2 linked regions of the Callithrix jacchus genome follow. The protein of the gene in region 1 purifies or fractionates together with the protein of each later gene. This does not show direct contact. Links are inferred from orthologs where the notes say so. Each region holds a gene or a part of one and is shown on either strand. Other genes may lie near its edges. The genes, in order: RARA and KLF5.

The links.
Region 2: the proteins of RARA (region 1) and KLF5 purify together in Homo sapiens (affinity purification with western blotting; 4 studies listed by BioGRID). This does not show direct contact. The link is inferred for Callithrix jacchus from reciprocal best matches to the Homo sapiens genes RARA and KLF5.

Annotation. Positions count from the first base shown.
Region 1 is NC_133506.1:92,950,812-92,955,066, reverse strand, and holds the start of RARA (retinoic acid receptor alpha), read left to right. Parts: upstream 1-1,223; 5' UTR 1,224-1,330; intron 1,331-4,255. UniProt on the Homo sapiens protein: Receptor for retinoic acid. Retinoic acid receptors bind as heterodimers to their target response elements in response to their ligands, all-trans or 9-cis retinoic acid, and regulate gene expression in various biological processes.
Region 2 is NC_133502.1:42,208,145-42,212,719, reverse strand, and holds the start of KLF5 (Krueppel-like factor 5), read left to right. Parts: upstream 1-1,486; 5' UTR 1,487-1,798; coding exon 1,799-2,059; intron 2,060-4,319; coding exon 4,320-4,575. UniProt on the Homo sapiens protein: Transcription factor that binds to GC box promoter elements. Activates the transcription of these genes.

The sequences.
Region 1 (4,255 bases):
AGGCACATTAGGGTGAAAGGCTTGACCTAAACTCACCCCATGGACTCCACCCTGGGGCCTTCCATCCTAACTTCCCAGCTCCTTTTCTGAGTTCTTTCTGGAAGACAAAAAGAGGTGTGGAGGCATTGCTGGTGTCCTCTCTTCTAGGGAGAGGCCATGCCCTCTTCTTTCAAGTCTGTCCCTGACTTCCTCTGGCCCTTATGACATTCTCCCTGATCTGCTGCTAGAGATATGTGCAACTCTCCTTGCAAAATGTTCCCAATCCACAACTTCAGAATTCTTATCCACCTTTCTCTTGCTCATCTAGCCCGCCAAACCTGAATTCTCCCTTTGAGCTATTGAGAAGATTGGCTATACTAAACTGAAACAGTGACCTTGAAGTTGATCTATTGTTTTGAGGTCCCTGTGCCCCTATATTTATCCAGAATGGTACATAGGAAAATATTCTCTCTTTAACTTGTTTATTTTGGTCATAAAGATTCGGACCTTATTGAGGGCTGGGTAGGGGCCCTAGTTGACCTCTAGGTTCTGCATCCTGTTCTTCCACTGACAATTATCATCTCCAGTAATAGATGTAGCCCAAGGTCCTTTTTTGTTTTTTCTTCTTCTCTAACCGCACCTGCTTTTACTTTTGCCTATATAAGTATATTTGCAGACCCCACACACCCAGATACACACAAATTGGTCCTACCTGTTTCCAGCTGCCATCTAAGTTAGCCTGCACTTTTTACAGGCTGAAAATCTGTTTTTTTTCCCCCTGGATGGCCTGCCTCCTAGGCACTTGAGAATAATTGGGAGGGATGAAGAGACTCCTGCAGTCCACAAGGAAGAGGACAGAAGTGAGCATCCAACTAAAAGGAATGCTCCCTTCTCCAAATTTCTAGCTAAATGCCTCAGCGGGAGTGGCAGGAAAAGAGTTCTTAACCCCACCTCTAGCACCAAAACCTAAGTCCATCTGCTCAGGGCAGCCAGGAAGAAATGTCTATTTTCTCCTGTTTTATGTCATCCTATCCTCGTTATCCATATGCTGTGTATTTGATACTGGGAACTGTTCCCGTCCCCAGCCGGTGATCAGACCCCCATCTTTGTTCCAGTGCGTTATTTCTCCCCCATCAGTCCTCCACTCTGCACCGGCTGACCCAGTCAGGGCTGGTGTAATTGGGCGGGGAGAGTCTTCTGTTTGGCGAGTGGGCTTTAGGACCCAACGGGAACCCGTGCCTCTTGCAGCAGCCTAACCCAGAAGCAGGGGGGAATCCTGAATCGAGCTGAGAGGGCTTTCCCGGTTCTCCTGGGAACCCCATCGCCCCCCTGCCAGCACACACCTGACCAGGTAGGACCATGCACACCCCTTCCCAATTCTTCCTTGGCCGCCTTTGACTGGCCTCTGCTTCCGATCTAGCCGTTTCCCTCTCGTCAGTTCTGGCTTTCCCCATCCCTCCTCTCCTGTCACTCACTGTAGTCCTGCGAGGTGGGAGTCTCGGAACAGTAGGGTGTCTGAAAGCTCAGAGCCCACTGCACCCTCCAGCTCCTTTCCCGCATTTCTCCTGAGGCAGTCCTCGTTTCCTAGCTAAGAGTGGGGAGTAGGGGGAAGGTCTGCCCAGGCCCACGCCCTTGCACCCTCCTTTGCAGTATTGCCTAAAACCCCTTCCCCCACCTCACCTAGACTGGAGAATTGGCAAGTGCTGGGGTAACAGAGAGGACAGAGCCAGAGAGGGACCTGAGCTTTCCTGAGGGATTTCTTTCTTGCTTCCTAGCCCAAAGAGCTCAGGACGTTGTCCCCAATCCCTACTCACCTTGTAGGGGAACTAATGTCCCTTTCCAGGTTCATTGCACACCTGGGTGGCCAAGGGCTTTGCAGGAAGCTAGTGGAGGTTGTGAGCATTTTGGTGACCTTTTCCTCTGGGAAACTTCTTTCAGCTTAGAGCCCCCATCCCTGTCAACATCTCAACACCTTCTGCAGAAGCGCTCCCCCCTCCCCCCCACCCCCGACCCCTGTGTGCGTGTGTTGACAATGTGGTTGTAAGATCTAGAAGCTTTGGATAGAGGTGGCTGCAGGCATTGAAAGGGAGGGATACCAGAGTGTGGCCAGGCTAGAACAGGCTCAGTCCAGATGGCTAGGGAAGGGGGTGTGGACCAGATTGAGGAGGTCACCCAGCCTTGCCAGCTCCCTGAGCTCCTTTGCTTTCAGTCTCAGGCTCCTGGTGTTTCTCTAGAGCTATAAGGTCCCCGAGCTTTTGCCCCCTGCCCCCACATGCTCTCAGAGAGGGCTAGATGGCACCTACTGTTTACAGTGGCGTATTTTCTCCTGTGGTGGGCAGACAGGCCCTGCTCTCTGATGATGATCTAGGGCATGCCATTCTGGTTTGGTGGGTTTATAGGAAGGGTGTACACTGTCTGAGTTACCGTGTGTGAGTGTATATCTTGCTTCTGGGGGTAGTAGACTGGGGAGGGGGTGATAGAACAGACTGGTCACACTGAGAGAACTCCTCTAGTTCTCAGTGTGTGGTAGGGGTGGGTTGCATGTCCCTGTCTGGTAGCTGTGTCTAGGTGTGGGGTGTACTCTGCATTCTTCCATGGCTCCCCGGGTCCCCTAAGGGTTGGTTTTGGAGGACAGGGTAGATAATGGAGTGGCTTCACACTTTGTTCTGGTCTTGATCCAAGAAGGAAAGTAGAGATTCTGAGTGTGAGCAGTGGACTGGGAATCAGAGGCCTGAATGGAGACTTAGCCTGGTTATTTAACTATGTGTGTTTATGTAGGTCTTCCCCTGTGCTAAGTCTCAGTTTCTTCATTTGTAAAAATGGCTATCAGCAAGCAGGTCTGCCACCAAGACCCCACAGATAATGTATTGTAAAGCTCAGTCCAAATGGTAGTAATGGCTGGGGGGATCTAGGATGGAATCCTCTTCCTAAATCTAGGTCAATCTCTCTGCCTTCAGTTTTCTTCCCTCATCCTTTACCCATCTGGGAGATGGAGGAACCAGGCAGGGCTATTGCCCCGGGTACTGCAGAATTCCCCTGCAGGTTGTAGCTGTTGCCAGAGCACCTGTGGTCAGAGAGTACAGATCTCTCCACCAGGCATTTCTTCCTCTGGGGCCCCATACTTTCTCCCCTGAGCCATGTCTCCACCTTCCTTCTGCCATCCCTGCTTGGCGTCCTTGTCTCTCTCTCCCCTGCCCAGTGGCCTCCTTGTCCGGCTCACTGGGCAGGAGCCCTAATCGGATTCGACAGCTGAGATATGTGTGGCGGCTAAGAGCAGGCGGGAGGGAAGCCAGTGGGAGGATGGTATGAGGACTGCCCCTGGCACTGCCCCGGCCTCCCAAGCACCACCTTGGGCCTGCTGATTTCTTACTTGGCTTTGCCCCAAGGAAGGGGTGCCAGAGGAAGCTCAGGAATGAACAGGCTGGGGTCTGGAGACTAGGGGAGGAGGAAACACACCAAGGTCTTGAGGACCTCGTTGATATTTGATGGCCTTAATGTCAGTATCTCTGACTCTGATAAGGAGGAAAGGACAGCGATGAGCCAGGCGGCCCTCACCCTCGCCACCTCATTCCTATAGCCCCACTTTCTTTTCTCTTCTTGTTCAGAAATGTGTTCATTTTGCCTCATCTAGCCCCTTTGGTCAGTACTTCCTTATGGATCACATCTGGGAGCTTCTGGGGGTGCCACATGTCTGCCTCAATCTGGGCTGTTTCCTCCCCTTCAAGGTATTTCACTCTCTCTGGGCTGGGTGCCAGGACTCCTGGGTTTCCCGCCTGCCTGTGGTGCAGGGCTCCCCTGCAGGGCTCCAGAGAGTCGCTTAGCTGGTTTCCTTCCTCCTGTGTGGGGAGGGCCTTCCCCTAGGGTTGGGAGGTGTCAGGAATCCCAGGTGGGATGGTGTGGGGGCACAGTAGCCTCTGGCACTGTAGCACCTCAGCTTCTTCCTCCTAGCCTCTGACTCAGCTTGGGGGCAGCACATGCCCAGCCTAGCAGGCATGGCCTATTCTTGCCTCCAGGCTTCTGTCTTTATAGAAGCCTAGATCTTCTCCCATTTTTAAGCGTTTTTTCCCCCATGGTATCTGGGGGTGGCTATTGAAATCCCTGTGTTTTGGGGAGCAAGGGACTAACATAATTGAGGCTGGGGCACTATTTTGTCTTCCCTCCAGCTGGGCCAGGATGAAGGAAACTGTCACAACTTCCCCATGCCAATTCCTTCTGCCCTCAAAAGACCAGTCAGTGGAGCCAGGCCCTGCCCTCTGGGTGCCCACAATGTGGTTGG
Region 2 (4,575 bases), on another chromosome or scaffold:
AAGAGAAGGAAAAGGAGAAAAACCTAGTTTACAGCAAAATTTTATAATTTTTTAAAATAAATACACTTCTTTATGTGCATGTTAATTTTCTACTCATTGAAAATGAGATCCATACCTTTGACAGATACACTCTTTGAAGTGAATGTTTTTTCAAATACTTTTGTTTTTTCAACAAGCTGTTTTACTCTGAAGTGATGAGTCGGCTGTTGTATATGTAAAACTGTCTAATGGTATACTGTGCTGTCAACATCTGTACATTTGTAGTAATATTACAGGCATTTTTATTGCAGTTTATTGTTCCGGACTCCCAATAAGCCAGATAAAATCATGTACAAGAACATTAAGGATTAAGGGAAGTGGTTTCCTTAGGTGATTGCTGGCAAAAATTCACCCTCCCATTATAACAACATAGTAAATGGATGGTAATATATTTGGCTATTACTTTCCAACAAATTTGGATTCCTAGTTTTCAGAGCTGCTCTGTGTCTATGTTTGTGGCTTTTTGGTTGTCTCTTCGCAGGAAAAGGTGCCACAATATGAAGTAAATGTGCGAGGTTTCTGTTTTGTAAATATTAAAGTCCATTTTTTGAACATACAGTGCTAGTAAAAATAAGTCAAAGATGTAATGTCTATTTAAATACACATTTGAGCTAGTCATGCTTAAATTAGATTCCATGCTTCGGCTAGAATCAACATAATTAAATATTAGAAACTTCAAAATTCATATGGCCCAAGCTCTCCTCTCCACACACAGATAGAAGGTAGCAATGTGTGGGGAAAACGTCTAGCAATTAAAATCCTAAAAGAAGGGGGAAAACGCAGGCTTTTATGCAAGGACTTGAAAAAACGCTTGCCATCGAATCTTTTATTCAGGCATTCTGAATTTGCTTTGTTAAATGGATACACTCACTGCTAAAGATACAGAGAGACAAGAGCTGTTTTAAATTTGTTTATCACACCGCCCCTAGTTTTCTGCTAAAGAGAAGTACATTTTGGATATTTAAAAGTACACACTCATCAGACAAGTCTCTAAAAGCCTCAGCGCCCCCACCTAGCTGCCTTCTGGGTTTCAGCTTTTGAGTTTCAGGTCCTTGCACAACACCTAAGACGTGCAATACTCTTTCTCCCTAATCCTGGCAGAGAACAGTGCGAAGAGATCTCCCTCCGCGTCTCCACCCAAATTCCCCCTCTTCCCAGATTCCACCCGCTCCGCTACTTCCCTCCGCCCCCGGCTCCGCCAGCCCAATCTGTCAGAGAAGTTGTGTACAAACTGCGCGGCGGCCCTGCGCGCGAAGCTCGTGGCCGGAGAGGGGTGCGGTCGGGCCGGTGGAGGCGGGGCCCCGGCTGCCTCTCTCCCTTTCATAGGCTGGTCGCTTCTGCCTGGCCGGCCTCGGAGCCTCAGGATTCGTGGCGGCACTGCCAATCAGGCGAGCGGGCCCCGCCCTCCTGGAGTTGGGTGAAATAGAGGCGGGCGTCAAGTGTCAGTAGTCGCGGGGCAGGTACGCACGCTTGTAGCTCTGTAGGCGGTGGCGGGAGCGGGCTCCGGAGAGCTTGAGAGCGCGGTGGGGCGGGGCGGGAGAAAGTGACCGCCCGGAGGACGTTGGGGTTTACGTGTGGCAGCGGAAGAGTTTTGCTTTTGGTGCGCGCCTTCGAAAACTGCCTGCCGCTGACTGAGGGGTCCGCCCGAAACCTCCCCTCCTCCGCCCGCAGTCCAGCGCCGAGCTCGCTGGCCTGAGCCAGCGTGGGCGAGGTGGGAAGTGCGCCCGACCCGCGCCCGGAGCCGCGCCCCCGAGTGCCCATGGCTACGCGGGTGCTGAGCATGAGCGCCCGCCTGGGACCCGTGCCCCAGCCGCCGGCGCCACAGGACGAGCCCGTGTTCGCGCAGCTCAAGCCAGTGCTGGGCGCCGCGAACCCGGCCCGCGACGCGGCGCTCTTCCCCGGCGAGGAGCTGAAGCACCCACACCACCGCCCGCCGGCGCAGCCCGCGCCCCCACAGGCCCCACAGCCGGCCCAGCAGCCCGCAGCCGGTCCGCGGCTGCCTCCCGAGGAGCTGGTCCAGGTAGGAAGAGCCGCTCCCCTCCCAGCGCTGCACTCCCGGGCTCGGGCGTGTCCCGCCGCTGCGACGGGCAGGCGACAGGGGCCGCTCCAAGCTGGGGCGTGCGTCGGGGCGCACCGGAGCCGGTGCTGGGGAGGCAGACACCCCCCACCCCCCCCCCCCGCCTGGCCGGGGCCCCGCGTTTCGCGGAGATTAAATGGGAGTCCGGGCCAGGGAGAATATGCCCCGGCGGGTCGTCCTGGGAGAGATCAAAGGGAGGAGAACTGGGTGCTCACGCGCACCTTAGTTGTTTTTCTTATACTTGAGGGATGAAACCTTGTACCTTACGCTCAGTTTTACTTAAATTACGCCTTCGACTTTACCGCTCTCCAATGCCAAGGAATTGGAGCACCCCCCCACACACACCCCCATCGTCTCGGGTTAAGTAGAAACGCAAATTGGGGTGCTGTGGAGAGGTTCCCCAAGGTTTCATACCCTGTGGCTAAACCTGCTTTTAGAAGAGATTGCGGGCCGCGTTTGGAAAATGAGGGGGAAATGAGGGGAAAGCTAAGGTGTTGGAGCGCTTATTTTTCCTTAAAAAAAATACCGGGGAGTTGTTTTCTTCGTGTGCGCGTAAATTTCCTCCCGGGGCCGCGTTGAAAGCTGGCAGTTGGCTTTTACACTTGCCTAGCAGCCGAATTAGAGCCACCGCCTGTTTCTTTCGCCCACGCAGGGAGTCATATAGCCCAGAAAAAACTTCCCAGGACTTTTAGCCTGTCCCAAGGAAAAAAAAATTGGAAACATACCCACATGCAAACAGCTGGAAGAGCTAAAATCAGAAACCACTAACCGCCGCGGGAGCGCAGTGCACGAAAGGGTTTAGTTCAGTTTATTTCAAGACACTTCATTTAGTAGCCCTTTGGCGTATCGTGTATTTGCTACCCAGCGCCTACTCAGTGGGGTCTGCCAGGGTCCTGCTGTGAGGGGGCAGTGGCGTTCGTCAGAGATGTGACTCACATGATGAGAGCGTTAATTTTTATTTTTAAATGGTGTCTATCCGGGAAACCCCGTCCGTATCCACACCAAGGTCCGAGATTAAACGCTCTTGAAATGAAGTAGTAACAGAAAATGACTGTCTTATTTACCGATTAAGGTGCCACAGCTAATAGTTCTTCTATGCGCCGTTCCATCTAGTTGGTTTTCGTATCTTTTGAAATTTCCTTTTCAGTGTTAAAAAATGTAAGTTTAAGTTATACTAGGAGAGAAGATAGCTGGAAAAGGGTTGAGATGACTTGTTACAAGCTGCTTCATAGCCTAGAAAAGAGATCTCTGTTTGAAAAGTATTTGGTTATTTCTGTTTGTGTCAATTTTCTGCTCTGGAGGCACTAAGAAGATAAGGGATGACTGAGCTTTTTACAGAGTAGGGGGGAATGTAGCGTTGGCCCACTGAGGAGGACATGATAAATGTTTTGCTGATGACTGTGCTAGGGATACAGCAGCCTCCCCACCCACTAGCAGCACTCTACCAAGGGAGTGATTTTCCCCTAGGTAATTAAAGATCTGTTTTAGATAGGGATATGAATAGGAACATTTCATTGTCATATTAACCAATTACAGGATCTGCTGATTAAAATCAACATTTAGATCAAATACTGAATGTGAAATTGTTTTGTCTCAGTGGATACAAGGTTTTGCTTAGAATATTGTATTTAATTTCCCATTGAACTGTAAACAAGAAAAGACTGAAATAGCCAAATAATTTTTTTTTAGTATTTGATACTTTGGAAGTATCTAGCCAAGCAAAGAAACCTTTGCAATAATTTAAAGATTTGCACTTTCTCTTTTTTAAGAAAAACTTTTTAATGTTTATGACTTAAACAGAATTGAAGCAGTTTGGCAACGTTTCAATACTGTACTGTACTCTAATTGCAAACTTAACTGTGTAATGGGGCAGGGAATCCTGCTTGTACAGGGGTGATACCTTGTTATTGCATCAGAAAGGAATGTTTTCAGTTTGCTTTCTTTTTTTTCTTGATTTGCGTCTTTCACTTCTGAGGTGATTGAGGGAGCAGTTTTACCAGTTACACAGAGTTTCATAAGGTTTTGGTCAACCAATTATATTACATAATTGATTAAATAAGCCTGATATGTTTTTAAGCAACACGGAGAAGTTTGCCCTAATACCTCACACAGGGATTGGGAGAATTTTAATAGGCGCCGATTGTCCTTCCTGAGACTGTGCATCAGGTGGATTATGCATGTTTGTATCTCTTCTCTTTTTTAGACAAGATGTGAAATGGAGAAGTATCTGACACCTCAGCTTCCTCCAGTTCCTATAATTCCAGAGCATAAAAAGTATAGACGAGACAGTGCCTCAGTCGTAGACCAGTTCTTCACTGACACTGAAGGGTTACCTTACAGTATCAACATGAACGTGTTCCTCCCTGACATCACTCACCTGAGAACTGGCCTCTACAAATCCCAGAGACCCTGCGTCACACACATCAAGACAGAACCTGTTGCCATTTTCAGCCACCAGA